Rattus norvegicus: one gene and its partners. The protein of the gene in region 4 interacts with the protein of the main gene of each other region in a pairwise test. Links are inferred from orthologs where the notes say so. Each region holds a gene or a part of one and is shown on either strand. Other genes may lie near its edges.

Region 1 (3,794 bases), on a different chromosome or scaffold from region 4:
TGGATCAACTCCCATTCTGACTTCCCTCAGTGACGGGCTATGAGAGTCACACTTCCAGGAGCACCACCCCAAGAGCACCGCCTTGGCAATCAATGGCGTCTTCCCTTAGATGAGCCAAAGTCCCTCCGTGGCCAAGGATCTGTACTTCTGCCTTTACCGCTCCTTCCCAGGTGCCGAGGTCACAGCTGTCTACTGTCATGTTTGGTTCTGTGCACTGCGAGTGCTGAACCCGGGACCTCATGCTACCACTGAGCCACTCTGCCTGCTGGTAAATGCTCTTCCAGTTCAGCAATGCTGGCTCCTCAGGTATTCCCAGAGCCTAGCCCTGACCACAGAGTGGTGCCTCCCACGCGCTCTCTATTAGGGAGATGGAAGACTGAACACTCAACAACATCCAGGACACTTTTGGGTTTTGATTCCTTGAGACAGAACCTCGGTATGAAGGCCAGGCTGGCTTCGATCTCAAGGTCCTCAGCCCATCTCCTGAACACTGGCCCACGCACCTTCCGGCAAGGCTACCCGTTTGTTACGTGGCAATTGCTTTAACTGCATGCCTTGGCTTTACTGTGTTAAAGTGCTGAGGATGGAACCCAGGGCCTTACATATGGGATGGAAGGCTTTTGACCCCCACAACAAAATTATCTATTTTTTTTCTGTTTTAACAAACTTCTATTATTATTGTGTGCAAGGGCACATACATGCCACAGCACACAAATAAAGGTCAGAGGACAATTTCTAGGAGTTGTTTTTCTCTTTCCATCTTCCCATGAATCCTGGGACAGAACTCACTTTGCTGGGCTTTCGACAGAGTGCCTTTACCCACTAGAACCACACTGCCAGCCCCTCACTAGTCAGGGGTGAGGAAGGTGTGTCTCGGTGTGGATGCTCACACGTCACAGCATGCAGTGATGTCAGAGGGTGACTTCTGGGAGTCAGTTCACTTCTTACATGGGTTCTAAGGATCAAACTCAGGGCTCCAGAACTTTGACTCATCCTTCCACCCCTATGATTCTCAACAGAAGTCTATCGTTACATCATCCAAACACCGCAAACTGGTCTATTTAATAGACCAATAATTTAGTAAGTCAGTATGAGTCAGGCGTGATGGCACACATCTATGATCCCAGCACTTGGAAGGCTGAAGCGAGATGATCTTGAGTATGTGTGAGCTGTACACAGTGAGACCTTGTCTCATAAACAAAAACAGCCAGGCACTGGTGGCGCTCACCTCTAATCCCAGCACTTGGGAGATAGGGCAGGTGGAGCTGAGTTTGAGGCCAGCCTGATCTACAGAGTAAGTTCCAGGACAGCCAGTGAAAAATCAAAAACCGAAACCAAAGGGCAGGGACATAGTTAAGGGATAAGAGCGTGCTTACAATAGACAAGGCCCTGGACTTCAATACCAAATTGGAAACCTCTCACCCACCCAGGAAACAACAAAGTCAGACATTCAAGAGCCAGGACTGAAAATCAGAGCCATAGGTGGAGCACGTACCCTACATTAGGGAAGCAGCTTTTAATTCACTCTGGAAAATCATTTCATTAAGTGAACATGCCAGTGATCTGAACTGTTTATGTGTGTACATGTGTGCATGTGTGTAGTGTATGCATACATGTTATTATAGATTTGTAGAATTGTGTGCACATATTATATTGTGCACACATGTTTCATGTATGCATGTGCTCTGTGTACATGAGTTACAAATGCAATCATGTGGAGGTCAGAGGTCGACCTTGGATGTCCTCATTTTGGGGGAATTCTGTGAGATGTCTTCCTCATTTTTAAAATTTTATATAACATATTTTTGGTTATAACCAATCTTTATGTATTTTTTCACACATTTGATAGAAATGAAAAGACAGAAAGGAAAAAAAGAGAGTGACTGCCTCATGAATTTGTGTCATCCTTACAAAGGGGCCAAGCTAATCTTCTCTGTATTGTTCCAATTTCAGTATATGTGCTGCCAAACAGAGGACTACTTATTTTAAATGCACTGGTGCTGGTCTGCAAGTCTGTCTGCTAACCATGTGCATGCCTGGTGCCCATGAAGGCCAGAAGAGGGTGTCAGATCCCTAACCACTGAACCCCGGTCCTCTGGAAAAGCAGCCAGAGCTCTTAAACACTGGCCCATCTCTCCAGCCTCTCCACCTTATTCTTTGAGACAGGGTGGTCACTGAAATGGTCAGACTGGCCAACAAGCTCCAGGATCTGCACATCTATCCCAACTCCGGGAAGGGTGCAACAGATGCACACAGTTGTCATATAGATAGTGAGAAACTGAACACAAGTGTGTCTGCCTGCCTGCCTGCCCAGCAGGCCTTGTGTGCTTGTGTCTGTGTCACAAGTTGTATATATGGATGGGCATCTGAACTGGGCGCATCTGTAGCAGCAAGAGGTGAGTATCAGGTGTCCTCAGTTTTGGGAGACAAACCTTTCTGAGCCCGGAACTGACTGATTGGCTAACCTAGCTTGCCAGCGAACTCTGGGGACCCGCCTATCTCCATGCCCCAGCACTAGGTGAGTGTATGTATTACAGATGTGTACCACCAAGCACACACTTGGGTGCATTCAGTGTGGGCATGAAAACAGGGGCGGAGAAGCCAAAGGAAGATGCCAGGTGTCCTGTCTATCACATCAATGTTCCTTTGAAACAGGGTCTCTCTCACTGAGCCAGGCAGCCTGGCCAGCCTGCTGGCTCTACCTACCATGCAGATTCTGTGTCCAGAGACACAACTGGGTTTCTACGGCCCTGGCTCACACATTCGGCTCTTCTGATGGCAAATGCTCTCACCGGCCAAGCCATCTAACCAGACTTTAAAAGTCTACTTTCTTTTTTAATGGCATGTCTTCTTTGTTAAGTTTAAGAATTTAAGGTTTCTGTTATTTGAAACTAGGGTTTCTTGAGTAGCCCTGGCCATCCTAGAACTTACTCTATAGATCAGGCTAGCCTAGAACTCATAGAGATCCACTTGCCTCTGCTCCCTGAGATAAGATCAAAGGCATGGGACACCACCACATGGTGATATTTAAGGTGAGCATTTCTGAAAACTCTCTGTGCCCATCTGTCAGCCCCTGAAGGGATCCACACTGCCCGAATGACTGTAGCACACAAGAGACTCACACATCAACACAAGCAAGAAACAAGCTTCTGCTCCTCACCAAGGAAGCCCCAACTGTGGGAACTCTGCTTCTCCGACCGCTCTTACCAGTTCTACACACCAGCCCACCGTCAGGGCCCGCTGTAGGCTCTCAGCATCCTGTTTCCTTGGTTCCACCAGTTCCTGGAAGGTCTGTACCACCGTCAGACCCCGATTGTACTTGCCTCCTACAGTGTTGTACTCCAGGACCTGAGGCAGGGTGAGAGGACATCAGGGTCCACACAGAAGGGACCTGAAGAGGTTTCCCCTTTCCTTCTCCCTCTTTGAACCCCAACTCCCCTTGGGGAGTCCCTGGGTCAGTCCCCTCTTCATTTCTTCTCCAAAGTCCTATAGCATATGGAACCCAAGTACCTGCTACATAACATACCCCCAGTTCTTCCCTCAAGCCGAGAACTTGGACCACCTGCAAACAAGCTTGTAGTGAAGACAAGGGCCCTAGCGTAGAGTGATGGCTAACTCCTATAAGCTCAATACTCAGCAGGGAGGCAGGCAGACTGATGAGTATGAGGCCAGCCTCAGATACAGAATGAGTTCTGGACAGCCTTGGCTACAGAAAACAAAGAAACAAAACAAAAGACAAGGCTTCTCCAAAGTTAGCCAAAAGAAGGCATTGAAGGGACAGCAAGAGTCAGGGC
Region 2 (4,288 bases), on a different chromosome or scaffold from region 4:
CCCAGCTTGCAAAATACAAGAGAAAGCCATGATGGCAGCAAGAAGGCAGTTAAAAGGCCACCATTTACACAGTACCCAAAACTCAGAGGATTTCCAATGCATTCTTTCACTGCCCTTGGCATTTACTTAGTGATCACTACTACAATCAGTGACTATAATCAAATTGTTACACTAACAAAACTGAGTTACCAGTCAATGCAGGAGTGATCACTTCCTATGAATGCCTTCTCCCTTTCTACTGATTCCCTTTTCTTACACCAAATCACAGGAGTGCTTCCTATTTCCTTCCCTCATCTAGTGTCTGAAAGGGGCCAGTCACCACATGGCTTTTCTACAACACGACACTCAATAGCCAACAAGGCCAGGCTTTGGTCAAAAATCTTCATCATTCAAACCCCAAGTATGGTTTAACTTGTCATTTATTTGGAAATACAATCTTATTTGCAAATCCCTTTTTAAAATGACTTAGAAACGAATCAAAAAGCTTCCCCATACCTCCTTTTTTTGGGGGGTTGGGGGTATCATATTTACATAAAGCCTAAATTACCAGAATGTAATTTCACATTTCCTCCCAAGAACACAAGGGGGGGGGGGGCTCTTCTGGAAGGTGAGAGGTGAAACCTCCACTACAGCCAACTCTCCTGGTTCAAAACACACTACAGATAAGGCTCACCTGGAGCTGCAGTAGTATTCCCCGTCCCACCTCCTCCAGCTCCCAACCGGAGCCTAGTTCAGTACAAACTTAAATCTGCAAGACAGGGGTTGGGGATTTAGCTCAGTGGTAGAGCGCTTGCCTAGGAAGCGCAAGGCCCTGGGTTCGGTCCCCAGCTCCGAAAAAAAAGAACCAAAAAAAAAAAAAAAATCTGCAAGACAAAATTTAGTTCATCATCTTTCCTAAATTGGAGGTTTTGAAGCCTGCTGTTCTACTTTCCAAATGCTGGAACAGTGGTGACTTTGGCAAAGACGTATGACTAGTTCAAAAGTCACCACAGGAGAAACTGGCATTCAAGGAAAAAGGGCCTGACCTAGCATTTGAGAAGCAAATGGTTTAACTTGGAAAAAACATGAGGAACACTTAATTCCAAAACTTGTCTCATTCGACCCTACCACTCCCTAAACATTAAACTCACAGGACCCAGTCTTAGTGTTCATTCCTTTAATCTCGGGGGGGAGGGGGGGAGCCTGGGAGGGGGAGGGTGTCAGGAGAGATGGATCTCTGGGAGTTCAAGACCAGTCTGGTCTACATAGCATGTTTCAGAACAGCCAGAGCTACACAGCAATTAATTAAATCACAGGAACCATGTGTGTGACTTTTCATTTTTAAAGACTAGCTTAACGGCCTATTGCCTAACTCCAGTTATCTAGTTACAAAATTAGAATTTTGTACCTAGGCTACACAAGCACAGTAGATGTCAATGAAATTCTCAAAAATGACTGAATTCAAATTAGCAGGCGCTAAGGATGTAGCTAAGTTGAGAGGAGAGCACTCATCTAGCACATACTAGGGCCTACGTTCCATCACCGGGAGGTGAGGGGGGTGTCAAATGAACAAAGAGTAACTACTGAAATTTGTACATAAAACCATTCACTTAAAATAGATAAAACAGAGCTGTGGTGTAGCACAATATTTGAGCACTTGTCTTGCCTGCATGCAACCCTGGGATCGAGCCTCACTCATGGAACAATGAAATCATAAAACAGAAAGAAAAAGAAAAAAAAACTACAATCTTCTACATTCCTAATTCAAAATCCCCAAGCCCCAACTGAGTGCTCAAAATAGGTAAGGATCCCCAAGCCAAGCAAGAACATGCATTCCAAACTTAGGTTGTCAACCAAACGTGTTACTAAACGTTATTTGAATTAACTATTTCTCAACAGGTCTATGTTTCATAATGCTAAGTGTGAATAGTAAAGTCTTCAATTTTACAAACGGGTAAACTGAGGCACTGGCACTGCAAAGGGCAATCAGTACTAAGGAGTCAAGGCAAGCCTTGGCCTCCTGTATTCTTATCCATCAGAACTCCATGCTTGTGAAGGTTGGGGGTTGGGGGGCCAAACGCAGGAACTTTGGGATATCCGGGGTAAGAACAAACGGAGCATGAGTGAGGTTGTGCACCTCCCCGGAAGAAGGTGAGGCCGAAAACCTCCCCAAACCCTCAAATCCAAGGTGTGTCGGCCAAAGGGAAGAAATCCAATCGCAGCATCTCAGCTTGCCTCCACCCAAGGATAGTCTGCAGTGATTTCCAAACACTCCACCCTCACCAAAGACTACTCTCCACCACCGGCCCAAAGAAGCCGTCCGCTCCGGAGGCTTCTCCTTTGTGAGGCTCCACAGCCGCCGCCCCACACTGGGCCTCCGGGGAAAAGCCACCGCCCCCACCCGCCATATTTCCCTGAAAGGCGCCGGAGCTACAGCTCCTAGATTCCGCCCTCTCCCGAGTGACCCGTGCTATTTCTCACACCACCCCACCCAATTGTCCTCCACACCCCGCCGCAATCCCGAAACCTCCCGTGGGGATTGCACGGCGGGAGACGGCACTCGCCATCTCCTCCCCCTCCCCCGCCCGGGGACTCGCCCTCCCCCTCCAGCCGCCATTTTACAACCAACTCCTCCACCCTACACCCCGGCCTGCTGGCTGGCGAGCGTCTGCAACCTAAGGACACCGGAGGGGTCAAATTCCTAGGCCCGGAGACTCCCACCGCTTCGGGAGCCCGCAGGCCATTTCCTGCTTCCCGACCCACGTCCCAAGCCAGGCTCGGAGACGATGCCGCCATTTTGTCTCCGGTTCCCGGCCTCTGTGGGCGGCGGCGGAGGGTCCGAGACTTCCAGCCCCCCGACACCCCCACAACTCACCGTCGTATCGCTCGGCCTGCTCTGCCAGCTTCGCCTGGTACACCAGATCCTCCCGATCATCCATAGCGGCAGCGGCTCCGGCAGGGTCTGCACGACGGATGGAAGCGGATAGCGTCTCCGACTCTCTCAGCTTCTCGCTCCGCGTCCGAGCAGTAAAAATGGCGGCGCCTCAATCCGGGACTTCCGCCTGCGCACGCGGACAACTGCTCAGCTCTATGGCAACCGCTCCCTGGCAACTGGCGCGGGGGGGCGGGTCCGGGAGTTCGGCGCCAGAAAAGGCTGGAACCTGCACGACGGACGCCCCTCCTCCGTCAGCTCAGCGGGCGACTCTGCGGCGAGGCGGGAACTGCGACTGCGACAGAGAGCGGCCCCTGGAGCGGCTGGAGGCAGGTCGGCTTAGACTGCGGGAGGGGAGTAAACCAGAAGCCTGTGCTAGGCAACCGCGGGCTGGCCTGTGGGCGACAGAGCAAGAGGCTTTATGAATTCTTGCTACGGCAGGCCTTCCTCATTGAGATCAACCTGCCCTGTGCACTCTAGCACATTTTTCTCATCCGTGTGCCCTTTTCAGGTCCTTTGAACCCCTAGGTAAAGAATTGAGAAATGAAGAAGGGAGAGCTCGAGTTTTCACGCATCACCATCTCTCTTGCTCACACACTGTAAGCACTTTCTTCTCCCCCTCCAGCTGTATTTTTATCTCTTTGGCCTATCATAGATAGGACTTTTGTTAAAAAGCCTCTGTTTTTGACTCATGTGCGTTGGTGCGTGCGTTTAATCCCAACACTAAGGAGGTAGAGGCAGGAGGATCGAGTTTGGATCCAGCCTCATCTACAAAGCAAATTCCAGGTCAGCCTGGGCTACATTGTAAAAAACCCCCATCTCAAAAATAAACAAACCACACAGAAAGGAAAGAGAAAGAAAAAGTGATCAATCTAAACTAATTAAGGGAAACCCTCACTAGAGGGAAAAAAGACAAGAAAGTGGCTTGCCTCATTCGGAGTGCAAGGTGCACCTGAGTAAGGGCAAATTGATGTGGATGAGTTAGAAATAAAGAATTCTCGCCGGGGCTGGGGATTTAGCTCAGTGGTAGAGCGCTTACCTAGGAAGCGCAAGGCCCTGGGTTCGGTCCCCAGCTCCGAAAAAAAAAAGAAAAAAAAAAAAAAAAAAAAAAGAAATAAAGAATTCTCAATGGGAATTGCTTCATTTGCAATGGCCATGCCTATTCTGCTTCCCAATGGATTTTCAACATCTTATACTCAATATCTGCTTGCTGCTGAGCCATGCAAGAAAAGGGCCTCAAAGTGTGAAATAGAAAGGTTGGGACCAAATTACCGTAGGCCTGAGGTCACAAGCTGAGAGGCTTGCATCTTAGCCTATGAACCGACAGGAATTGTCTTGTTCAAGTGCGGAGACTGACCCCAGAGCCTCGAGCATGAG
Region 3 (4,495 bases), on a different chromosome or scaffold from region 4:
GTCCTCTGCAAAATCACCAAGTATTCTTAACTGTTGAGCTATTTCCAGCTCACCTTACTTTTACTTATGTGTGTATGTGTATATATGTATGGATGTGAGCATGCTTGTAATGCCCTTGGACTCCAGAAGAGGGCGCTGGATCCCTTGAAGTTGCCTGATATGGGTGCTGGGATCAGAGCTTGGGTTCGCTCTAAGAGCAGTAGGAGATGTTAATTCTTGGGCCATCTCCCCAGCCAGTGTAGCACGCGTGTCTCTCTGTGGGTGCAGGTACTCACAGAGGCCAGAGGCATCCTATCCTGGGATTGGAGTTACAGGGAGCTGTGAATCACCTGATATGTGTGCTGAGATCCAACCTCAGGTCCTCTGCAAGAGTAGCATGTGCTTTTCCCCAGGGAGCCATTTTTCCAACCCCCTTAAGAAGATGCACGAATATAATGTGGTGTGGTCCTTTTCACTTCCCGTCCACCCGTAGCCTCCTCTAGCTTCTGATAAATTAATTTCTTTCTTTCTTTCTTTCTTTCTTTCTTTCTTTCTTTCTTTCTTTCTTTCTTTCTTCCTTTCCTTCTTTCTTCCTATCTTTTTGTTTTTCCAAGACTGTGTTTTTCTGTGTAGCCCTGGCTATCCTAGAACTAGCTCTATAGTCCAGGTTGGGCTCGAACTCATAGAGATCCACCCGCCTCTGCCTCTCAAGTACCACCATCTCCCGGCACCTCTTGCTACTTTCAGGTCTTACTTTGTTTGTGACCCACTGAGTTTAACTGGCGGTGGCCTGCATGAGCTTGGTGCATGGGGGTTCTGGGGCACATGCAACTTGCCTGTGGCTACACCACTGAAGAAAAGGACTCTCTCTGCCCCAGCAACAGCCGGTAGCTTCCTAGGGATGGGTGGGGCCCCGTGATTATGTTTTGTCTGGTGTTTTGCCACAGCAATAAGAGTAATAGAAGACATTGTAGCTGGGTGGTGGCGGCATACGCCTTTAATCTGGGAGCACTTGGGAGGCACAGGCAGGTGGATCTCTGAGTTTGAGGCCAGCCTGATCTAAGAACGAGTTCTAGGACAGCCACAGCTACACAGAAAAACCCTCTCTCAGAAAATAAATCAACGAAGATGCCCTATACACTGGGGTGTAGTAGGACCCCAACCTTGTGCATGAGATGAGGTGAGGTGAGAGCCTAGGCTGGAAGAGAGGGCACAGCAAGAGGGCTCACACAGGACTCCAGAGTGGAGATGGTGGCTGGACAGTAGGGGGTGCTATCCTTGGGAAGGTGGGTGAGGAGGGAGTGGAGCAGGAAGTACCTTTAGGGTAGGGCAGCGGCTCCTGGCCCAGGGTACAGAGGCTAAGGTGGTGGTACAGGCCACGGGCTCGGGCCTGCTTCAGCATTTCTGGGCTTCCGTCCACCCCCTGCACCTGAAGGAAGCCCCGAGCCTGTAGCTGGGAGAGAAGGGGGCATCAGTCATGGCTCATCTGATCAATGAACCGGAGGTAGAGGATGAGTTTTTGGTCAAGAAGTGGTAGGGAATTTGGGCAGACGGGGTCTAGGTGTGATGGCTTAAGCCTGCCTTCTTAGCTACTCTGGAGGCTGAGGCAGAAGAATCCCAAGGTCAAAGCCTGCCTGGTTTATAGAGTGAGTTCAAGGCCAGCCTTGGGATCTCATCTCTAAAAAGCCATCTAAAGGGCTGTGGGCGTGGCTCAGTGGGAGAGCCCCTGCCTAGAATCCCCCAGTGAGGGGCTGGGGGTGTGGCTCAGTGGTAGAGCCCCTGCCTAGAATCCCCCAGGGAGGGGCTGGGGGCGTGGCTCAGTGGGAGAGCCCCTGCCTAGAATCCCCCAGTGAGGGGCTGGGGGTGTGGCTCAGTGGTAGAGCACCTGCTTAGAATTCACTATGTAGGGCCTGAGGGCTGACTGAGCAGTAGCGTGTTGGAGGTCCTGGGTGCTGAAGGGAAGGCAGGGCATTGTATCAGATCTTACCTCCACAGCTACCAGGCCAGTGCCACAGGCCACATCCAGGATCAGGGCATCATGGGGTGGGCCCTGAAGGGCTTGACTGAGACAATCCACAGCAAGGCGTGGGGCTCGATACTTCAAAGCAGCCACATCCTGAGGAGATAGCACTTAGCCCAACATAGGGTTTGGACAATTCACTTTGTGGGGTCCCTAGGAGCTGCCAGTTTGAGCTGGTGTGTGTTAGGGTTTGGATCCTTCTGGTACCCCAGAAACAGAAGACTCAGTTTTGAGGAGAATACTGTCAAGAGACCCCACACTAGTAGAGCTCAAGCTGACAGGAACTGGCTACTGGCTGTGGCAGCTCTTAGCTGGTCTGTGTATACCGAATGATGTCTCAATAGCGCCTCCTGCAGGCAATCTCCCTGTCTGGATTGCAGGACTAATTAGGTGGCTCATTCTTGGCTGAAGTAGGGGAGGTCCAACCCAGAGTTAGAAGGGGCTGCTTACACGTCAGTAGGGAGCAGGTAGCTAAGGAGCACGTTTCCCAGGTCCCTTTTTTAAGCTCCCAGCGTCCCTGAGATGCATGGGTACTATTCTCGCTTTGCACAATTTGAGTCCCCAAAATCGAGGACCCACGTGCTTTCACCTGGTCATACTCCGGAGCCCAGTCGTCATAGAAGCGGAGCTTGCAGGCCAGGTCGGTGATACCGTGGGAGGTCCCCACCCGGGCCAGTACTTGGGGCAGCCTCCCGGCCTCCTCCTGAGCCATCCTGTGGGGATAGGGTCCACCCAGTCATGGTATCCGCTACAGTCTTCTGCCCTCCCTCACCGGGCGGAGGAGGTTATCAGTGCTCCAACGCCTTCCCAAGTCTCAAATGAGACCTTGAGTGGGAGATGGCAGGAGCTGACGTCTACACCTTGGCACTGTTTATAGGGCGAGGGGTTCGTAGAGAGGGGGTTCTCCGCAGCAGGGAGGGAGGACTAAGCCTCAGCCCATCATTCCCAGAGGTGGATCGGGGCTTGAAGGGGGCCGGGTTCTTCCTCACTGCAAGGGTCTCCAAGGAAATGAAAGGTCAGAACTCACCCTACGGAGCCTGCTTCTCCAGGCAGAGGTGCGGGAAGTGGAGGGGAAGTCTCTGAGAGCCTGGCCCCGCCTCTAGCACAGCGGCGATTGGTTTTCCGTGAGAGAAAGCAGCCAATCAGAAAAGAAAATGACAGTCCGCCCCCTACTACGAGCCAATGAACGTAATGCTATAGTCTTATTGCCCGAGAAGATCTTAAATTCTACTTGGCGGATTTGCTCTTGTTTTTTCACAAACGAATAAAAATGTTTCTTTTTTTTTTCTTTCCCTTTTTCTTCTTGACAAGGTCTTGCTAGGAAGCCTTGAATGACTCGAAACTCCTTCTATAGACCAGGAAGACTCCTTCTATACGCCATTTAAATCCTGTGGTACTGCTCCCAGCTACAATATATAAAAAGAAAACCCAAATTATTTATTTGGGGATCATGTGTAGCGGCGGAGAACCACTTTTTGGAGTCTGATCTCTCCTCTACCATGTGATTTCCAGGCATGAAACTCAGATTCTCAAACTTGTCGGCAAGTGTTTTTATGTGCTGAGCCACCTCACTGGGCCCAATTTTTAATATTTGTATGGTTTGTTAGGGTCTGAAAAATCCAAAACAAACCCAAGCAGACACAAGAGTCCACGCAAAGTAAGATTTTTTTTTTTCTTTTTCTTTTTTTCGGAGCTGGGGACCGAACGCAGGGCCTTGTGTTTGCCAGGCAAGCGCTCTACCACTGAGCTAAATCCCCAACCCCGCAAAGCAAGATCTTTATTTGAATTAGGCACGGAAACTGACCAGACAGGGACAATGGCACCGACTTGGGAGCTGACTGTGTCTTCCAACGTTCATCTTGGTATTTAAGCAGCTGGCAAAATTTTATTGTACTCAGACCGTTGCTGATCGATCAGGGCCGAAGAACAGACTTAGAAGCTGAACTTCCCTTCAGAGCCAGAATGGTACAGAGGGGTTTTTTTTTTTTTTTTTCTTTTTTTCGGAGCTGGGGACCGAACCCAGGGCCTTGCGTTTGCTAGGCAAGAGCTCTACCGCTGAGCTAAATCCCCAACCCCGGTACAGAGGTTTTAAGCTCGAAAACCACAGAGATCTGTCCCAAGTTTCGGTCACAGTTTTCCATCAGTCAGAATCACTTGTTCTTTCATGATTAGGAACAACCATGTTTTGGGGGACAAGAGAATAAGGAGGAAGTTGGCTAGCCATCCAGGAAGTCCTCGGCTACCCTAGAGCCTGGGAACTTGAACTTCATTTCACCTTATGATCAAAACGGAGTCTGCAAACAAAATGGCAGTACTTTGGATAAGCCTCATTTGTTTGATTCCCAACAGTTTCACATAGCTCACATCTCAAGTTAGCTTTGAACTTTCTATATAGCCAAGGATGTCCCTTAACCTCTCATCCTCCTGCCTGATTCATGCCGTTCTGGGCATTGAACTCAAGATTTAGTGTATGCTAGACAAACATTCTCTCAACTG
Region 4 (3,794 bases):
ACACTGCTCACCTTGGCAGCCTGCCCCATGCCAGGTAGACATTGTTCACACAGGGGTGGTGACTCAGAATTCCGTGACTCCGTGAGACCAAGACGGGGATCGCTCCATAAGAGTTCCTGGCATCACTACGTGGCTGGGCTTGGACACGTGGTTGCGGTTTGTCTGGCAAATATCTCCTCTCCTGCTCATAATGAACAGGCCCCTGCCAGAGAGAAGGGGAGGAGATGGTGGGGAGAGACTATTCAGAGACGAACAAGGAAGAGAAGGCTCATGGGTAAAGCAAGCACCTAACTTTTATTAAGGAAACTTTCAAAGCCTTGGCTCTACTTCCCTCACTCATGCATGTGCTTGTTTATGCACCGTTTTTATAGACAGCGTTTCATATCGTAGCACAAGGAAGCCTCAAGTTGGTGGTCATTCTCCTGCCCCAGCCTTCAGAGTGCTAGGCTCACATGAGCCAACATGTCAGGGCTCATCTTACGTACTGTGTTTGGTTTATTAAAAAAAAAAAAAAAACAGAGTAGTTTTTGTAACTGTCTCAAAGATGTCTCAGTGTTTCCTTATAAATGACTGTACTTGGAACTCCCTGGAGACTTTATAGTGAGAAGAATTGTTTTCCAATACGGCTGCTGAGTTGGGGTACATGGGTACATTGTGGGAGGCACCGTTAGAATAGGGGGCACTACCGTAGATGAAGTGTAGCCCTGTAGCCAGGTGAAATCTTAAGAGTATTGGTTCTGTCGTTGAAGCTGAAGAAAAAACCCAAAGACTCACTGGGCATCTCCATTCCAAACGTGCTCCTTCACAAAGCCCAGCTCTTGGGGCCTCCCTGGACGAAGATAAAGTCGTGATGGGGAATTAGGTAGCAACCTTTCTGTAAAAACGATTTACAGAAATGCATCATCTACCCAAAGATAGCCTGAGCAACAGGAGATGGTGTAAGAAAAGAAAAAGTGATCACCCACCCTCTAGGAAAAGAAGAAAGGCTGGAGGAGGACGGAAGGGGCGGAGAAATGTTTGGCTGGGCTGCCTACTCTATAGTTTATTAAGAAAGCACATCTGGGCAGGAGAGATGGCTGGTGGTCAAGACAGCTGCTTACGGCTCCTGTAGGGGACCCAAGTCAGGGTCCCAGCACCTGCACTGTGAGTCACAACTGCCTGCAACTCCAGTATCAGGAGACACAGCGCCCTCTTGTGATCTCTATAGGCACTGGCACATATACATGGTGTGCATAAACTCTCCTAGGCACGCACACAAACAAATAAATCAAATAAGCAAATGTTTAAGAAAAGGACACCCTTAAACTTCGTCACTCTCTTGATTCTTACTGGCTCTTTAGACTTGGGCCATAATCTGCTTTTGCAATTCCAACTAAGAGGGTCTCCTCTTAATCTTGTTGGTAATAGTGTTTTTGTTGGTGGGTGGGTTGATTGGTTGGTGAGGTTTCTCCCCCAGAGCTGATGTTTTGATTTTTTTTCCCCCTCTCTTCTCTCTCTCCTGTCCCTATCCCCCGACTCCTGCTCTCTTCTCCTTCTCAGAATCCGGAGCTGCTACTGCCAGCCTAGAGAACCCACGGGGAGATGATTCCTCATGAAGGGCCTGGATCCCCTACAGAAATCCAATGTGACTCTCTGTTTATCAGACTAAAACCAGAGCCAGCCAGACAGTGAAACAGCCACCGTGGAGGGGGGACGGCGAAAAATGAAATCTAACCAAGAGCGGAGCAATGAATGCCTGCCTCCCAAGAAACGTGAGATCCCCGCCACCAGTCGGCCCTCCGAGGAGAAGGCCACTGCTCTGCCCAGCGACAACCACTGCGTGGAGGGTGTGGCATGGCTCCCCAGCACCCCTGGCAGCCGCGGCCACGGGGGTGGGCGGCACGGGCCAGCAGGGACTTCCGGGGAACATGGTTTACAAGGAATGGGTTTACATAAAGCACTGTCCGCAGGGCTGGATTACTCCCCACCCAGTGCCCCCAGGTCGGTCCCCACAGCCAACACGCTGCCCACCGTGTACCCTCCTCCTCAGTCAGGGACGCCGGTGTCTCCTGTGCAGTACGCCCACCTATCACATACCTTCCAGTTCATTGGGTCCTCCCAGTATAGTGGGCCTTACGCGGGCTTTATCCCTTCCCAGCTGATCTCCCCACCAGGCAACCCAGTCACCAGTGCGGTGGCCTCGGCTGCAGGGGCCACCACTCCATCACAGCGCTCCCAGCTGGAGGCATATTCCACCCTGCTGGCCAACATGGGCAGTCTGAGCCAGGCACCAGGACACAAGGTTGAGCCCCCTCCGCAGCAGCACCTCGGCAGGGCTGCGGGATTAGTCAACCCGGGGTCCCCTCCACCTACCCAGCAGAACCAGTACATTCACATTTCCAGCTCTCCACAGAGCTCCGGGCGGGCAACATCTCCACCCATCCCGGTCCACCTCCATCCCCATCAGACGATGATCCCGCACACGCTCACCCTGGGGCCTTCATCCCAGGTGGTCGTGCAATACAGTGACGCCGGAGGCCACTTTGTTCCTCGAGAGTCCACCAAAAAAGCAGAAAGCAGCAGGTTGCAGCAGGCTATGCAGGCCAAGGAGGTCCTCAATGGGGAGATGGAGAAAAGCCGGAGGTATGGGGCGTCATCTTCTGTGGAGCTGAGCCTGGGGAAGACGAGCAGCAAGTCAGTGCCTCACCCCTATGAGTCCAGGCATGTGGTGGTCCACCCGAGCCCAGCAGACTACAGCAGTCGTGATACCTCCGGGGTCCGTGGATCTGTGATGGTCCTGCCCAACAGCAGCACACCCTCAGCCGACCTGGAGACACAGCAGGCCACACATCGAGAGGCCTCCCCATCCACCCTCAATGACAAGAGCGGTTTGCACCTAGGGAAGCCCGGCCACAGGTCCTACGCGCTGTCCCCACACACGGTCATTCAGACCACACACAGCGCATCAGAGCCTCTCCCGGTGGGCCTACCAGCCACGGCCTTCTATGCTGGCGCTCAACCTCCTGTCATCGGCTATCTGAGTAGCCAGCAGCAAGCAATCACCTATGCTGGTGGTCTGCCCCAGCACCTGGTGATCCCAGGTACCCAGCCCCTGCTCATCCCAGTGGGCAGCCCTGACATGGACACACCTGGGGCAGCCTCGGCCATAGTGACGTCATCGCCCCAGTTTGCTGCAGTACCTCACACGTTTGTCACCACCGCCCTGCCCAAGAGCGAGAACTTCAACCCAGAGGCTCTGGTCACCCAGGCAGCCTACCCAGCCATGGTGCAGGCCCAGATCCACCTGCCGGTGGTACAGTCCGTGGCATCCCCTGCCGCGGCATCACCCACGCTGCCGCCATATTTCATGAAAGGCTCCATCATCCAGCTGGCCAACGGGGAGCTGAAGAAGGTAGAGGATCTGAAGACAGAGGATTTCATCCAGAGTGCAGAGATTAGCAATGACCTCAAGATCGACTCCAGTACTGTGGAGAGGATCGAGGACAGCCACAGCCCCGGTGTGGCCGTGATACAATTTGCTGTTGGTGAACACCGAGCCCAGGTAACCCTCACCAGGGTCATACAGGTAGGGGGCCCCTACCCCCATTCTATCATCTCCTGAGAAGGTGATTGCTTTCGGCAGGTAGGGTTCCCATTGTCACCTGGGGATCTGGAATTGATGTGGAAGGTGAGAGAGAGAGAGAGAGAGAGAGAGAGAGAGAGAGAGAGAGAGAGAATGAGAATATGAATGAGAATGAGAGAGAGAACGCCTTCAGAAGAGCTCCCCTAAGAGCCACCACAGATAATATGGCAGG
Region 5 (3,794 bases), on a different chromosome or scaffold from region 4:
AGGATGAAGACCATTCTCAGCAGTCAGACTGTCGATGTCACTCTGAAGGGGTGCACAGCCACTGTGAAGGGCCCCAGGGGAACGCTGCAGAGGGACTTCAATCACATCAGTGTAGAGCTGAGTCTTCTTGGGAAGAAAAAGAAGCAGCTCTGGGTCAACAAATGGGATTACAGAGAGGAACGGGCCACTGTCAGAACCATCTGCAGTCATGTTCAGAACATGATCAAGGGTGTGATGCTGGGCATCTGATACAAGGTGAGGTCTGTGGATGCTCCCTTCCCCATCAACATCGTTATTCAGGAGAGCAGGTCTGTGGATGCTCCCTTCCCTATCAGATGAGGTCTATGGATGCTCCCTTCCCCATCAACATCGTTATTCAGAAGAGCGGGTCTGTGGATACTCCCTTCCCTATCAAATGAGGTCTGTGGATGCTCCCTTCCCCATCAACGTCACTATTCGGGAGAATGGGTCTGTGGTTGAAATCCGAAATTTTTTGGGTGAGAAATACATCAGCAGGTTTCGGATGAGGACAGGTTCTGTCTCTGAAGCCCAAAAGGATGAACTAATGCTTGAAGGAAATGATATTGAACTTGTTTCAAATTCAGGGGCTCTGATTCAGCAAGCTACAACAGTTAAAAACAGTATCAGGAAGTTTTAGAATGGCATCCGTGTGTCTGAGAAGGGAACTGTGCAGCAGGCTGGCGAGTGAGACCTCAGTTTCCCAGCTTCAGAAACAAGATCCTGATCACAAGTAGGATCGGGCTCTTTGGGGACAATAAAAGACTCATATATTAAAAAAAAAGACTCACTGTGGCCATGGTCTCTCTTCACAGCAATAAAACCCTAACTAAGGGGCTGCAGTGCTCACTGGCTAAGAGCATTGACTGCCCTTCCAGCGGTCCAGAGTTCAATTCCCAGCAACCATATGGTGGCTCACAACCATTTGTAATGGGACCTGATGTCCTCTTCTGGTGTCTGGTATGTCTAAAGAGCGTGACGATGTACTTCTAAACATAAAATAAATGAATAAAAAACTGCAACAACAATAAAAAAAGCCTAGCTAAGACAAAGGGTCATTCTCCAATAATTCTGTGAATGGGCAATGGTTCTTTCACAGACATTTCCTTTTTCCTGTGAGCTTATGGTCCACTTTTACAATTGCTAACTTAAGCCATCAAATAAGGGCCGATTTGATCACTATAACTGGGGTTTCCCAAGACCAGCTATCAATATGAATTACCTGAAGACCTTTATTGATTAGATGAATCTTGTTCTTTTTTTTTTTTTTTTGGTAGTAAGGCAGATTGTATAGCCCTGGCTGGCCTTAAACTTACAGAAATTCTTCTGCCCCCAGACTCCGCAGTGCTAAATTACATATATGTCACTACTTAGTGTCTCTTTTTTTCTTTTTAAAAAATTACACCTATTTATTTTATGTGTGTGTATATATACACACATATATACACGTATACACTCATATATATATGAGTGTTCAAATGCTGTGGAACTCAGGTAGGGGTCAGAGGACAATCTGTAGAAGCTGCTTCTCTCTGTCTACCATGTGGCAGAAGATAGACATACCCACTGACTCATCTTGTCAGCCTTTTTCTTCATTTAGATTCTAAGTTAGCAGAACTAGCAATGACATCACACCACACTGGACTATATGATATGCCAAGTTGTCCTGGGCAGTACAGACTCTGACACATGCACAGAGAGCTGACTGGCCAGTGAAAACACACACACACACACACACACACACACACACACACACACACACACACACGTCACATTACCTCATAAGCTTCTGCCAGCTGGGAAAACTTCTCCTTGGCTTTGGGATCATCCTTATTTGTGTCTGGATGATATTTCTTGGCAAGCTAAGGGGGGGGGAAAGCAAATTACTATAGATATAGTTACTAAAACAGAACCTAAACACTTGCCACAATTATGCCTTTTTATAACATGTCTCTCTTGAGACAGCAATGTATCTTTAAAGCAAGATTTAAAATTTGAAAATAAATCATTCCTCCATGGATGTCTTCCAAAAATAGTTCATTAAGGGGCTGGAGCGATGACTCAGCAGTTAAAAGCACTGGCTGCTCTCCCAGAGGTCCTGAGTTCAATTCTCAGTAACCTTCTAGAATAAGATCTGGTGCCATCTTCTGGTGAGCCATACACATGCAGTTAGAACACTCTACATAATAAAAAAACTTAAAGTAAAAAAAGCATTTAGTACCCTTGCAGAGGACCTGGACTGAGTTGCCAGCTCCTGTGGTAGCTCACAACTCTAAAACTCCAGTCTGACGTCCTCTGCTGATCGCTGAAGGCACGGAGAACGCATGCAGCACACATGCATGAGACAAACGCTCATGCACATAAACCAAAAATAAATAAATGTTAGAAAGTAGCTGGTAACTGTGTGACTAGCTCTTCGGCATGCAGGCGCCTGTGTGAAAGCAGAGAGTAAAACGCCATCCTGGCACACTGACTTATGTAATAGAGGAAGTAAATAACCTGTACGACTTTGGTTGTTTGGATTTACAAGTCAGGGTTTATGAAGCCCCGGCTGTCCTGGAATGAGCTCTGTTCACCAGGCTGGCCTTAAACTCAGAGATCCCCCTGACTCTGCCTCTTGAGTGCTGGGATTAAAGGCATGCGCCACCACTGCCTGGCTTTGTTTTTTGTGGGTTTTTTGGTTTTTTTGTTTGTTTGTTTTGAGAGAAACTGGCCTTAAACTCACAGAACTTTGCTTGCCTCTGTCTCCCAGGACTGGGATAAAAAGGCATGCACAACCATACCTGGCCTGCCTGCTGTGCAAGGTTTTGAGGGATTATGTAATGCACTCATGGCAGTTACTGCTATAAAAAATAATAATGATGATGTTTTCCTATATAATTTTCATTTATTTATGTCATAACTGTGTGGTCAGCATGGTATACATGTAGAGGTCAGAGGACAACTTTGTGGAGTCAGTTCTCTCCTGTTTAAAATGGTTTTGGAGGAATTAAACTCAGGTCACTAGGCTTGGTGTCAAATGACTTTATCCACTGGGCCATCTTACCCACCCCTTTTCTTTCTTAAAGCAACATTAACTGATATCACATTCACTGCATACCAAAGGCATCCAAAACTCTCCATCTTTCACAGGTCATTCCACAGGATCAGCTGTTTGTGACCTGCCTCAGCAGGCTGTATACCAAGGCAATAAGAACCACACAGAATCAACAACGATTTGGGTTGAAGAGATAGCTCAGTAGCTAAGAGCACATACCCCTTTTCCAAAAGACCTGAACTCAATTCTCAGCCGTGGCAGATGGTTCACGCTGCCTGTAACTATAATCCCAAGGGGATCCCTGCCCTCTGTGAACATCTGCATCACATACACACATACACATGCACATGCACACACAGTGACCAGCAATCTTTCTACAGTCTTGTCAGTAAATCTGAGACCAGTACAGACCTGATAATAGGCTTTCTTGATATCCTTCTGGCTGGCATTTCGGGGTACTCCCAGTATCTGGTAATAATCATCTTTGGCCAAAGAAGCACTTGTGTGGAAGGAAGCAGTACAAACAAAAGGGAAACTTTTTGTTCCTGGAAATGAACAAGAAAGTAAGTTGGTCTGGGACTTTATCCAACAAGAAGAAATTATAAGTAAGTGACCAGCTATGAAACACCTGTGAAAGAGGAAACGAGCCCCAGCTATAGGGCCTATTCCCTTCGAGTACTCTAGAGGCCAAACTCAATGTTCTTCAAATGTGGGGAAAGCTTAGGGACATAGTTCAGTA
Region 6 (3,794 bases), on a different chromosome or scaffold from region 4:
CAGTATACTTGCCCTTAGTTTTAGTTTTGTTTTATTTTTTAATTGTTTCCTTACATAGTCGAAAATGAAGCTTTAGTAGAGAGAGAAGGTTACAAGAAATACCTTTTAGTTACCTTTACTGTTTGTTTTCTGTTTCCCTTCTTACTTTTCTTTGAAACAAATGAAAAATTTTTGTATGGAAAATAAATAATTAAAGGGACATTAGAACAGTAAACCCTATATAATCATCAAGCTACAAATCATAATAATACATGTCATGACTAGTGGCAGCTGGTCCTCTTATTAGAAAAACAAGTATTAAAAAAATTAGTAAAAGTGAAGATAAGGGCTAGGGAGATGGCTCAGGTCACTAAAATGCTTACATAAAAACATGCAAACCTGAGTTCATATCCAATACCCCTCATAAGAGCCAGGCACAGTAGTACACACCTACATTCCTACTGAAGATGTAGAGATAGGTGGATCCTTGGAGCTTTTGGAGTTCCCTGGACACCTAGTATCACTAAATCAGTGAGCTCCATGTTCAGAGAGATGCTGTTTCAAAAAGTATGGCAGAGAGCAATAGAGGAAGACAGTATCAGCCTCTGGCCTACACACGCACGCATAAACACACGCATGCGCACACATACCCACACTAACACGAAGATGAGTAAACTAATAAGATGGCTGTTAACACATGTATATGATGATAAATACGAAGGCTAAACACTTACATTTCAGTCATCCGATTTAGAAAGCTTCCGCTTCACATGTCGTGGGGGTTCCCAAGTGTCACTATCATCTGTTTCTTCTTCATCTTCTTCCTGATCATCAATAACCTCATCTTCCTCCTCATTTTCCTCAAATAATTCTATACCTAACTCAGATCTTCTTTGTCTTTCTGCAAACCACTCTCTGACCTGCTCGTAACCCATGTGTGATCTGTTGACAAGTTCATCAAGGTCTTGCTCATTAAGAAATTTGTGCTTCAGGTAATAATCTTTAAGTATTGCTGTTCCAGTTTTAAACTTTATGAGCGACGGTACCCTGTCCCAGGTGTTCATTCTTTTTCCTCCTCTGGGCCGCCCACGTGGTCTGCCTCTGCCTCGTCCTTTGGGTCTGCCTCTCCCTCTTTTCCTAAGGGAGGACAGACCATTCAAACTACTTGAATTGGAGCTTTGATAGTAGTAGTACCATTTCAAGTTCCCATTCTTCCAAGCATAACGGGTATCTCCAAACCAACTAACTATGTCTGTTCTGGCAAGCCCACTTTCTTCAGCCAGCTTGTCATACTCTTCTGGTGACGGCCACTGTGTTCGGACAAATGCACTTTTAAGCATGTGCAGTTGCTCTGGTGTCTTCTTACATATCTTGCCTGTCCCTGCTGACTTAGGTGCAACGGCTTCGTCTCCAGGAGAATTTTCTCCAGGTTCTTCTTTGGAACTACCTACATTACTTTCATCTACTTCTACTTTCTCATCCTTTAAAGCTTTTGTTTTATTTTTCTCTGTAAACCAAGCATCAATTTCTCTTCTAGTAAGTTTGGTTTGCGCTCTTAACCTATTTAATTCTTCATCTGTAAGTACAGAACTGTTGAGAAAACTTGCCTGAAGGACACGAAGTTGCTCTGCAGTTTTCTCTTTAAACTTCTGGGGAGCAAAGTCAGGAAAGGGATTCCAGGACTGTTTCGGCTGTGACGCAGCTGCAGCTGGGGGTTCTGGGGTTTCATCACTGGAGTCTATGATGATAGTGGCAGAGGAGTCGTTATTGAGATGTAAGCACTGGTTACTCTTTGAATTTCTCTGGTTGTACCTTGTATCACTAAACCATTTTTTAATCTCGCCTTTGGTAAGGCCTGTTATTTTCATAAGCCTGATGATCTCTGAGTCGTGGGGAAACTGGTTTTTAAGGTAGCTAACTTTCAGTTCTGCCAGCTGTTCCTTAGTCTTTTTGGCCCGAATACCAAATGAATCTGGGTTCACTAGTGCAGCTTCAGGCCTGACACTTGGCGATGATGGAACTGCTGCTGTGGCTGGCTTTGTTTCTGCAGCAGGCTGAGCAGCAGGCACTTGACTCTTTTGTACATTTGTTTGATTTGGAACCCCTGCCACTGTCAGAGCAATGGGAGCCGTTACTGGCAAGGTGTTTGCTCCAGCTACTTGAGTAAGGACCAGACCTGGCTGACCAACTATTTGGCATGTTTGTAAAATAGATGGTAACCCATTACTTCCTGTGGAAATGTGTGTAGGAATAACAGTTATGGTCTGAGGTACAGTATGCACTGTTCCATTGAATTGTTTTCTTCTTGCCTCCTCTACTTCTTCAGGAGTCCAACTAACCCCATGCTTTAAACGTTGGGCTGAAAACCAGATCTTGATCTGTTCCTCTGTATATTTTGCTTGAGCAGAAAGAACTGTAATTTCTGACATTGTAGGATAAGGGAATTTGTTGTAGGTGTTAAGTAGAAGAGGATTGTTATCCAATGCAGCATTGTAGGTTGGAATGCTATTAACAGGGATTAAGACCTTAGGGACCAAGTTTGAGTTCTGTTGAGCGGAGACTGCAGTTATCACCTGTGCTAGCCCAGGAAGAACAGCTGTGGGGGTCACCACTGTGCCTGCAGGACTGGGATGCACTCGGTTGACAGTGGAAGTACTTGTGTTAGATTCTGAAGCTGAAGAACTCGTATTTTCTGCATTTTCTTCCCGGCTTGCTTTTACTCCATTCTCTTTCTCTTCAGAAGTGCCCTCAGCTGAGTTATGGTGAACTGTAATCCGTTTGTTTTCTACCTTATTTTTCATCATTTTCATAATGGGAGTTTTACTAATGGAGATTCCCGAAGAAGAAACATCTATGGATTCTCCTTGTTCTGTATTCTCCTCTTTAACAAAACTGCCATCAAAAGTCAGATCATTTATTGTCTGTTCAAAGATTGTCTGGTTATTCCGCTTCACCATAGTCAGTTTGAAATTTTCTTCTCCTGGGTGGTATTTCAGATTATGCTCAGAAAGTGCATCATACCTTTTGGTAAGAAAATTGCATTCAACACAAACATAGGATGAATTCAGCACAACATTGGGATGTTCTGAATCTACATGGAAAGTAAACATATTTAGATCTGGAGTTTGAAAAGTACAGTATTTACATTCATAGCCCCCTTCCACTTTCTTATTTTGCTGATTGTCAGAATCCACAGATTCGTGAACTTCTTCATCGCTGGAGACACTCTCTGCTCTAGCATTTTCTACGGGTGTAAGGACGGGAGGGCCTTCTTCCAAATCCGATATCAACTCAAGATCTGGATCCTGCTCACTGGCAAGGACCATGCAAGGTGTTGTTGATTTTCGTCTGCTTGCCATTTTGATTTTAGGGGCAGGGAGGGAATCTCTGGTGATTTAAAAGCACTGAGGCTTAAAACTGTTTGGAATCCTTCATTGGAAAACAGTGGCTTCTGGCTCTTCAAGTCCACTTTTGTGCTCAACAAGTCTCATTAGTAGCGTCTCCATGGTGCACTCAAGTAAAAAGCTTAGTTGGCAGATAAAACACTGCTGAACTGCTGAAATGTATGAAGCACAACTCCAATCACCTACATTGGAATAAATTTAAAATGTGTGACTATGATTTTAATCAGATTATGTTATTATACTTTACTTATGTTAAGCTGTGGCATAGGTCAGTTATACAGATATATACTCTGAATCAGGAACTCTAAGATTCTAAATAGATTTCTATCTCTGAGTCAACACATTGAAGATCATATTATACTTAGGGGTCATCCCATGTGTGTTTATTTAGATCTTTCAGTTAGCTAGATA
Region 7 (4,378 bases), on a different chromosome or scaffold from region 4:
AGGATAGGGTACCCCTTTTTCAACTTTTAGAATGTAAAATATTCAATCTGTATTTGCTTCATTTTTTTCCCATATTAACATTGCCTGCTTGGTATAAATGTCTACACATTAATTTTGGCTTTAGATTAGAAAATCCTTTTATAAAAAAGTTAATTAATGAACAAATTACTGAGGGTAATAATGTGTATCTTGACAAAGCAGTGACCACTGGACAAGAACGTCTTGTCTATGACCCCTAATTTATAAACCATTTATTACTTTTTCTTTATATCAAATATGGCCAATGTGTCAACGACTGTCTATTCTCCAAAGTGAATTAGTTGCAGTACCAGTCAACAACATATATTTAGAATTGGGGGTATCTTTCAGTAATACAGAACTAAGAGAGTCTTGTTAAAGAAGAAGCCATAAATTTCAAATGATAAAAGACTGACTCACACAAACACATAAAACCCAGAAAAGCCAGACTAGAGAGAGGGCTCAATAGTTAAGAACACTTTCTGTTGGTCCAGAGGACTTGAGTCTGGTTACTAGAATCCACATCAGGTAGTTCACAACTACTTGTAACACCAGCTCCAGGGAACCCCATACTACTAGGCTCCTTGGGTACCTGCAAACCACTCACATCCACAAAATTTAAAATAAAATAATGGGACATATGAGCTTCTTTTGTTGCCTACCAAAGTCAGGCTATAATCTAGGCAGTCTAGACCATTCTTTCCAGGTCCTTATGTGTACCCTTTGGAATACACCAGAACCAGCTAGCTTAAGAATAACAGTACTAAAAAGAACCCAGGTAAGAAAAAAGTTTTAATGGTATGCACTAATAAGTGGATATTAGCCCAAAAGCTCAGAATACCCAAGATACAATCCACAGACCACATGGAGCTCAAGAAGAAGTACCACCAAAGTGTGGATGTTTCAGTCCTTAGAAGGGGGAACAAAAATATTCATAGGAGTGGATATGGAGACAAAGTTTGGAGCAGAGACTGAAGGAATGGCCATTCAGAGCCTGCCCCACCTGGGGATCCAGTCCATATACATACAGCCACCAACCCAGACAATATTGCTGATGCCAAGAAGTGCATGCTGACAGGAGCCTGATATAGCTGTCTCCTGAGAAGCTCTGCCAGAACATGACAAATACAGAGGAGGATCCTCATAGCCAACCACTGAACTGAGATATGGAGGAATTAGAGGAAGGATTGAAGGAGCTTGCACCCCATAAGAACATTAACAACCAATCAGAATTCCCAGGGACTAAATCACTACCCAAAGAGTCCACATTCCCAGTGTAGGGGAATGTCAGGGAGGCGGGAAGGGGTGGGTGGGTGAGGGAACACCCTCACAGAAGAAGGGAGAAGGGGGATGGGATAGGTGGTTTATGGACAGGAAACTGGGAAAGGGGATAACATTTGAAATGTAAATTTAAAAAATCCAACAAAAAATATAACTAAAATTTAAAAAAGATAAAAGTTTTAAATAGAAACTTTTCGTTGAGCTTTGACCTCAAGATCAAAGAACTCAACCTCATAGATTACTTTTTAAGGTGACATTTAAAATGTAAAAACACAAATTCAAACTAGGATGACCAAATCTTTGACTTGCCTTTAAACTAGTTTTATCCAATGGTTTTTACCTTCCTTCCCATCCATACCAAAATGCCCACAGAATTCTCAGTCAAGCGATTTAAAAAGATTGAAAACACCTGGAGTGGAGCTAGAACTCCCATCTTTAACGCAGTTGATATACCGTCTTTCAAAGTTATCTCTCGTACTGTCTATACCATTGGGAGGGGACAAGAAGGGGGAGGGACTAACATGCTGGAGCCGCAAGCTGAAAGAACTGCAAAGTAACAAGTATCAAAATTATCCCCGCAATACTGCAACAAATGTAATTTTCATTTTTAATTATGGTTACTCATCCAACTTTGGAATGACTTGGGGAAACAATTCCACAGGCTGATTCACCATTCTATTACACTTGGGTTTTTATTTGCTCTTAAAGCAAACCCTTTAAAATTGAAGCCTGGAGGTTCAAATTAACATAAAGAGGAATGGTCAGTCGTCTTCAAAGTCTCCGCTAGGGGGAAACGCTTCGATACTAAAAGGAATTATTTTGTGGTGAGAGAGAAACCACTGTCAGTAGATTTGACCGAAGAAAACCCAAAACTGCTGCTAATTCCTCTCACCTGATTGAACTCTTCATCAGCGTATATATCAATCAAATCCACTCCTTCTGACATGGCTCCGGAAACACGCTCTCGAGCCCGGAGAACGGACAAAGTAAGAAAGATGCCACTACGGTATTCAGAAAAGGGTAAAAAATTTTAAGACACAAGGGTCCCAGGCTGGGAGGAGGGCAAGGGTCAACAACCTCTAGTCTCCCGAGAGGCAGCATCCCGGCAGCCCCGAGCCTGGCCCCACCCGCTCCGCCCCGCCCCCAGCCTCGCGCCGCCCCCTGCTCTCCCAGGCCGCTCGGGCTCGCGGGGCTCGCTGCCCATCACCCGCGGGCCCGACCGGAGATGCGCCGAGTCGGCGCCCGTAGCTGCCTATGGCGCCACTGCCAAGTCCAGGCAGGCCTCGACTCTTGAGAGGGCCCTCGGGCCGCGCTGTGAAGAACCACTGCGACCAACGCCGCAAGCTCAGCCCGTCGCACCTGCTAGACCCAGGGGGCGTCCCAAGCCGGAGCCCCCTGCGGGCCCGGAAGCTCCCGCCGCCTCCACTCCAACCCGGCCCGGTCCTCGCTCTCGGCTAGGCCTGCCCTGCTCCCTCCCACAGCTCCAGGATCTCAGCCCCTCCCTCAGAGGCCCGCGCTTCCCTCCACCCGCCGTCTTCCGCCGCCGCCACCCCAACCGACCCCCTCCCCTCCGCGGCGCCAGCCCCGGCCCTCCTTCCGGCCCCGCCGGCCCCCGGCCGCGCGCCCCCGTTACCGGGAATATGGCGGCGGCCGCGGAGAGTCCCGACTAGGCCCGAAGCGCGCGAACCGCTCTCCGCCCCAGGTCCCGCCCCCCCTACCGGCGGCGTCACACGCACCACTACTTCCGCCATACGCTGGGACGCGCCTTCCGGCTTGGGGTCCACCTCCACGGGTGAAGTCCTTAGATCGGCCGCCCGGAGTTCCCGGAAGAGGGTCGGTTGCTAGCTTCCTGTACTATAGGGAGAAATGGCGGTGGTCACCTTGATCCCGACGCTGGCGCGGGTGAGAGAGCCGAAGATTTAGGGTTCGGGGCGGGCGGCAGCTAGGACTGTTTCGTCCTCCTCTGTGCCGTGAAGACTGTAGGGAGAATTCACCCATCCCACAGAACCAGGGAAAGGTCCCCTCAAGGCGAGGCGCATACTGCCGCTGAGCATGCAGGTCATTTTCCATTGGTTACTTAGCCCACGGTGTGTTCGAGTGAGAATACTGGATACTATGTAGTTAAGTGGCCAGTTACCATACGAGACTCAAGGCATATCTCACTTATGTCTCCAGGAAGAGTTACCGAACCTCCCCCGAAAGCCTCCTTTTTTTTTTTTTTTTTTTTTTTTTTTTTTGGTTCTTTTTTTCGGAGCTGGGGACCGAACCCAGGGTCTTGCGCTTCCTAGGTAAGCGCTCTACCACTGAGCTAAATCCCCAACCCCCGTCTCCCTTTTTTAAAAGCCGGTTTTAATTTGTTACTCAGGCTGGCCTGAAGCTCGCCATTCTGTCTCATCCTGATCTTAAATGTCTGTATGTTTGAGAATTTTCAGGTTTTATTCCAGTAGTGTTGAAAGCTAGTTGATATGGTTTATCTTAAACTTATCGACATGTGAGCTCCTGGGCATATTCATCCGTACATTTGAGAGGAATGTATGCTCTCTTGTGTGGAATGTCTGTATACCTCAGCTAGATATACTTAAATTAGTATTGTTCTGGTTGTCTAATATTGATTCCCCCATCTGGATGTTCTATTCCTTATTAAATTGTGGCATTAAAATCTTTGTTTTCACCCCCTTCAGTTCTGTCAGGGTCTCTTTCATATATTTGAGTGCTCTATTAGGTCCACATGTATTTATGATTTTCATTCTTTCTTGCTAACTCTTTAATATATATAATATTCTTTATCTCATATGACAATTTTGTTGTTGGTGCTAAATGCCAAACCCAGAGCCTTGCATGCTAGGCAATTTCATTTTCTTTCTTTATTCATTTTTTTTAAGTTTAAAAAATATGTATTTATGTTTATGTGCCTTTGTGAGTTATGCCCGTGTGTGTAGGTGGCCATGAAGGCCAGATGAGGGTGTTGGGTTTTCTGGAATTGGAGTTACAGGTGGTTTTAAGTGTGTGTGTACAGGTACCACTGAAGCTAAAGAGGGTGCTAGGTGCCCTAGAGTGGGGGAGGGGGATAGGAAGAGTG

The links.
Region 1: the proteins of Atxn1 (region 4) and Fdps interact in binary tests that used the Homo sapiens proteins (3 or more experiments, as listed by UniProt). The link is inferred for Rattus norvegicus from reciprocal best matches to the Homo sapiens genes ATXN1 and FDPS.
Region 2: the proteins of Atxn1 (region 4) and Ywhae interact in binary tests that used the Homo sapiens proteins (3 or more experiments, as listed by UniProt). The link is inferred for Rattus norvegicus from reciprocal best matches to the Homo sapiens genes ATXN1 and YWHAE.
Region 3: the proteins of Atxn1 (region 4) and Mettl27 interact in binary tests that used the Homo sapiens proteins (3 or more experiments, as listed by UniProt). The link is inferred for Rattus norvegicus from reciprocal best matches to the Homo sapiens genes ATXN1 and METTL27.
Region 5: the proteins of Atxn1 (region 4) and Dnaja3 interact in binary tests that used the Homo sapiens proteins (3 or more experiments, as listed by UniProt). The link is inferred for Rattus norvegicus from reciprocal best matches to the Homo sapiens genes ATXN1 and DNAJA3.
Region 6: the proteins of Atxn1 (region 4) and Zhx1 interact in binary tests that used the Homo sapiens proteins (3 or more experiments, as listed by UniProt). The link is inferred for Rattus norvegicus from reciprocal best matches to the Homo sapiens genes ATXN1 and ZHX1.
Region 7: the proteins of Atxn1 (region 4) and Cpsf7 interact in binary tests that used the Homo sapiens proteins (3 or more experiments, as listed by UniProt). The link is inferred for Rattus norvegicus from reciprocal best matches to the Homo sapiens genes ATXN1 and CPSF7.

Annotation. Positions count from the first base shown.
Region 1 is NC_086020.1:176,798,053-176,801,846, forward strand, and holds part of Fdps (farnesyl pyrophosphate synthase), read right to left. Parts: intron 3,349-3,794; coding exon 3,208-3,348; intron 1,978-3,207; exon of another isoform or gene 1,871-1,977; intron 1-1,870. UniProt on the Homo sapiens protein: Key enzyme in isoprenoid biosynthesis which catalyzes the formation of farnesyl diphosphate (FPP), a precursor for several classes of essential metabolites including sterols, dolichols, carotenoids, and ubiquinones.
Region 2 is NC_086028.1:61,081,680-61,085,967, reverse strand, and holds the start of Ywhae (14-3-3 protein epsilon), read right to left. Parts: upstream 3,035-4,288; 5' UTR 2,919-3,034; coding exon 2,855-2,918; intron 1-2,854. UniProt on the Homo sapiens protein: Adapter protein implicated in the regulation of a large spectrum of both general and specialized signaling pathways. Binds to a large number of partners, usually by recognition of a phosphoserine or phosphothreonine motif.
Region 3 is NC_086030.1:27,400,131-27,404,625, forward strand, and holds the start of Mettl27 (methyltransferase-like protein 27), read right to left. Parts: upstream 3,073-4,495; 5' UTR 3,027-3,072; intron 2,713-3,026; 5' UTR 2,712-2,712; coding exon 2,589-2,711; intron 2,096-2,588; coding exon 1,967-2,095; intron 1,433-1,966; coding exon 1,297-1,432; intron 1-1,296.
Region 4 is NC_086035.1:19,331,764-19,335,557, forward strand, and holds part of Atxn1 (ataxin-1), read left to right. Parts: intron 1-1,539; 5' UTR 1,540-1,702; coding exon 1,703-3,541; intron 3,542-3,794. UniProt on the Homo sapiens protein: Chromatin-binding factor that repress Notch signaling in the absence of Notch intracellular domain by acting as a CBF1 corepressor. Binds to the HEY promoter and might assist, along with NCOR2, RBPJ-mediated repression. Binds RNA in vitro.
Region 5 is NC_086028.1:11,379,890-11,383,683, forward strand, and holds part of Dnaja3 (dnaJ homolog subfamily A member 3, mitochondrial), read right to left. Parts: intron 3,601-3,794; coding exon 3,467-3,600; intron 1,881-3,466; coding exon 1,797-1,880; intron 1-1,796. UniProt on the Homo sapiens protein: Modulates apoptotic signal transduction or effector structures within the mitochondrial matrix. Affect cytochrome C release from the mitochondria and caspase 3 activation, but not caspase 8 activation.
Region 6 is NC_086025.1:91,476,454-91,480,247, forward strand, and holds part of Zhx1 (zinc fingers and homeoboxes protein 1), read right to left. Parts: intron 3,566-3,794; 5' UTR 3,339-3,565; coding exon 717-3,338; 3' UTR 714-716; intron 1-713. UniProt on the Homo sapiens protein: Acts as a transcriptional repressor. Increases DNMT3B-mediated repressive transcriptional activity when DNMT3B is tethered to DNA. May link molecule between DNMT3B and other co-repressor proteins.
Region 7 is NC_086019.1:216,591,406-216,595,783, reverse strand, and holds the start of Cpsf7 (cleavage and polyadenylation specificity factor subunit 7), read right to left. Parts: upstream 2,995-4,378; 5' UTR 2,933-2,994; exon of another isoform or gene 2,907-2,932; intron 2,797-2,906; exon of another isoform or gene 2,659-2,796; intron 2,326-2,658; exon of another isoform or gene 2,301-2,325; 5' UTR 2,246-2,300; coding exon 2,192-2,245; intron 1-2,191. Other genes in the region: Sdhaf2 (succinate dehydrogenase assembly factor 2, mitochondrial precursor), read left to right, coding at 3,166-3,201.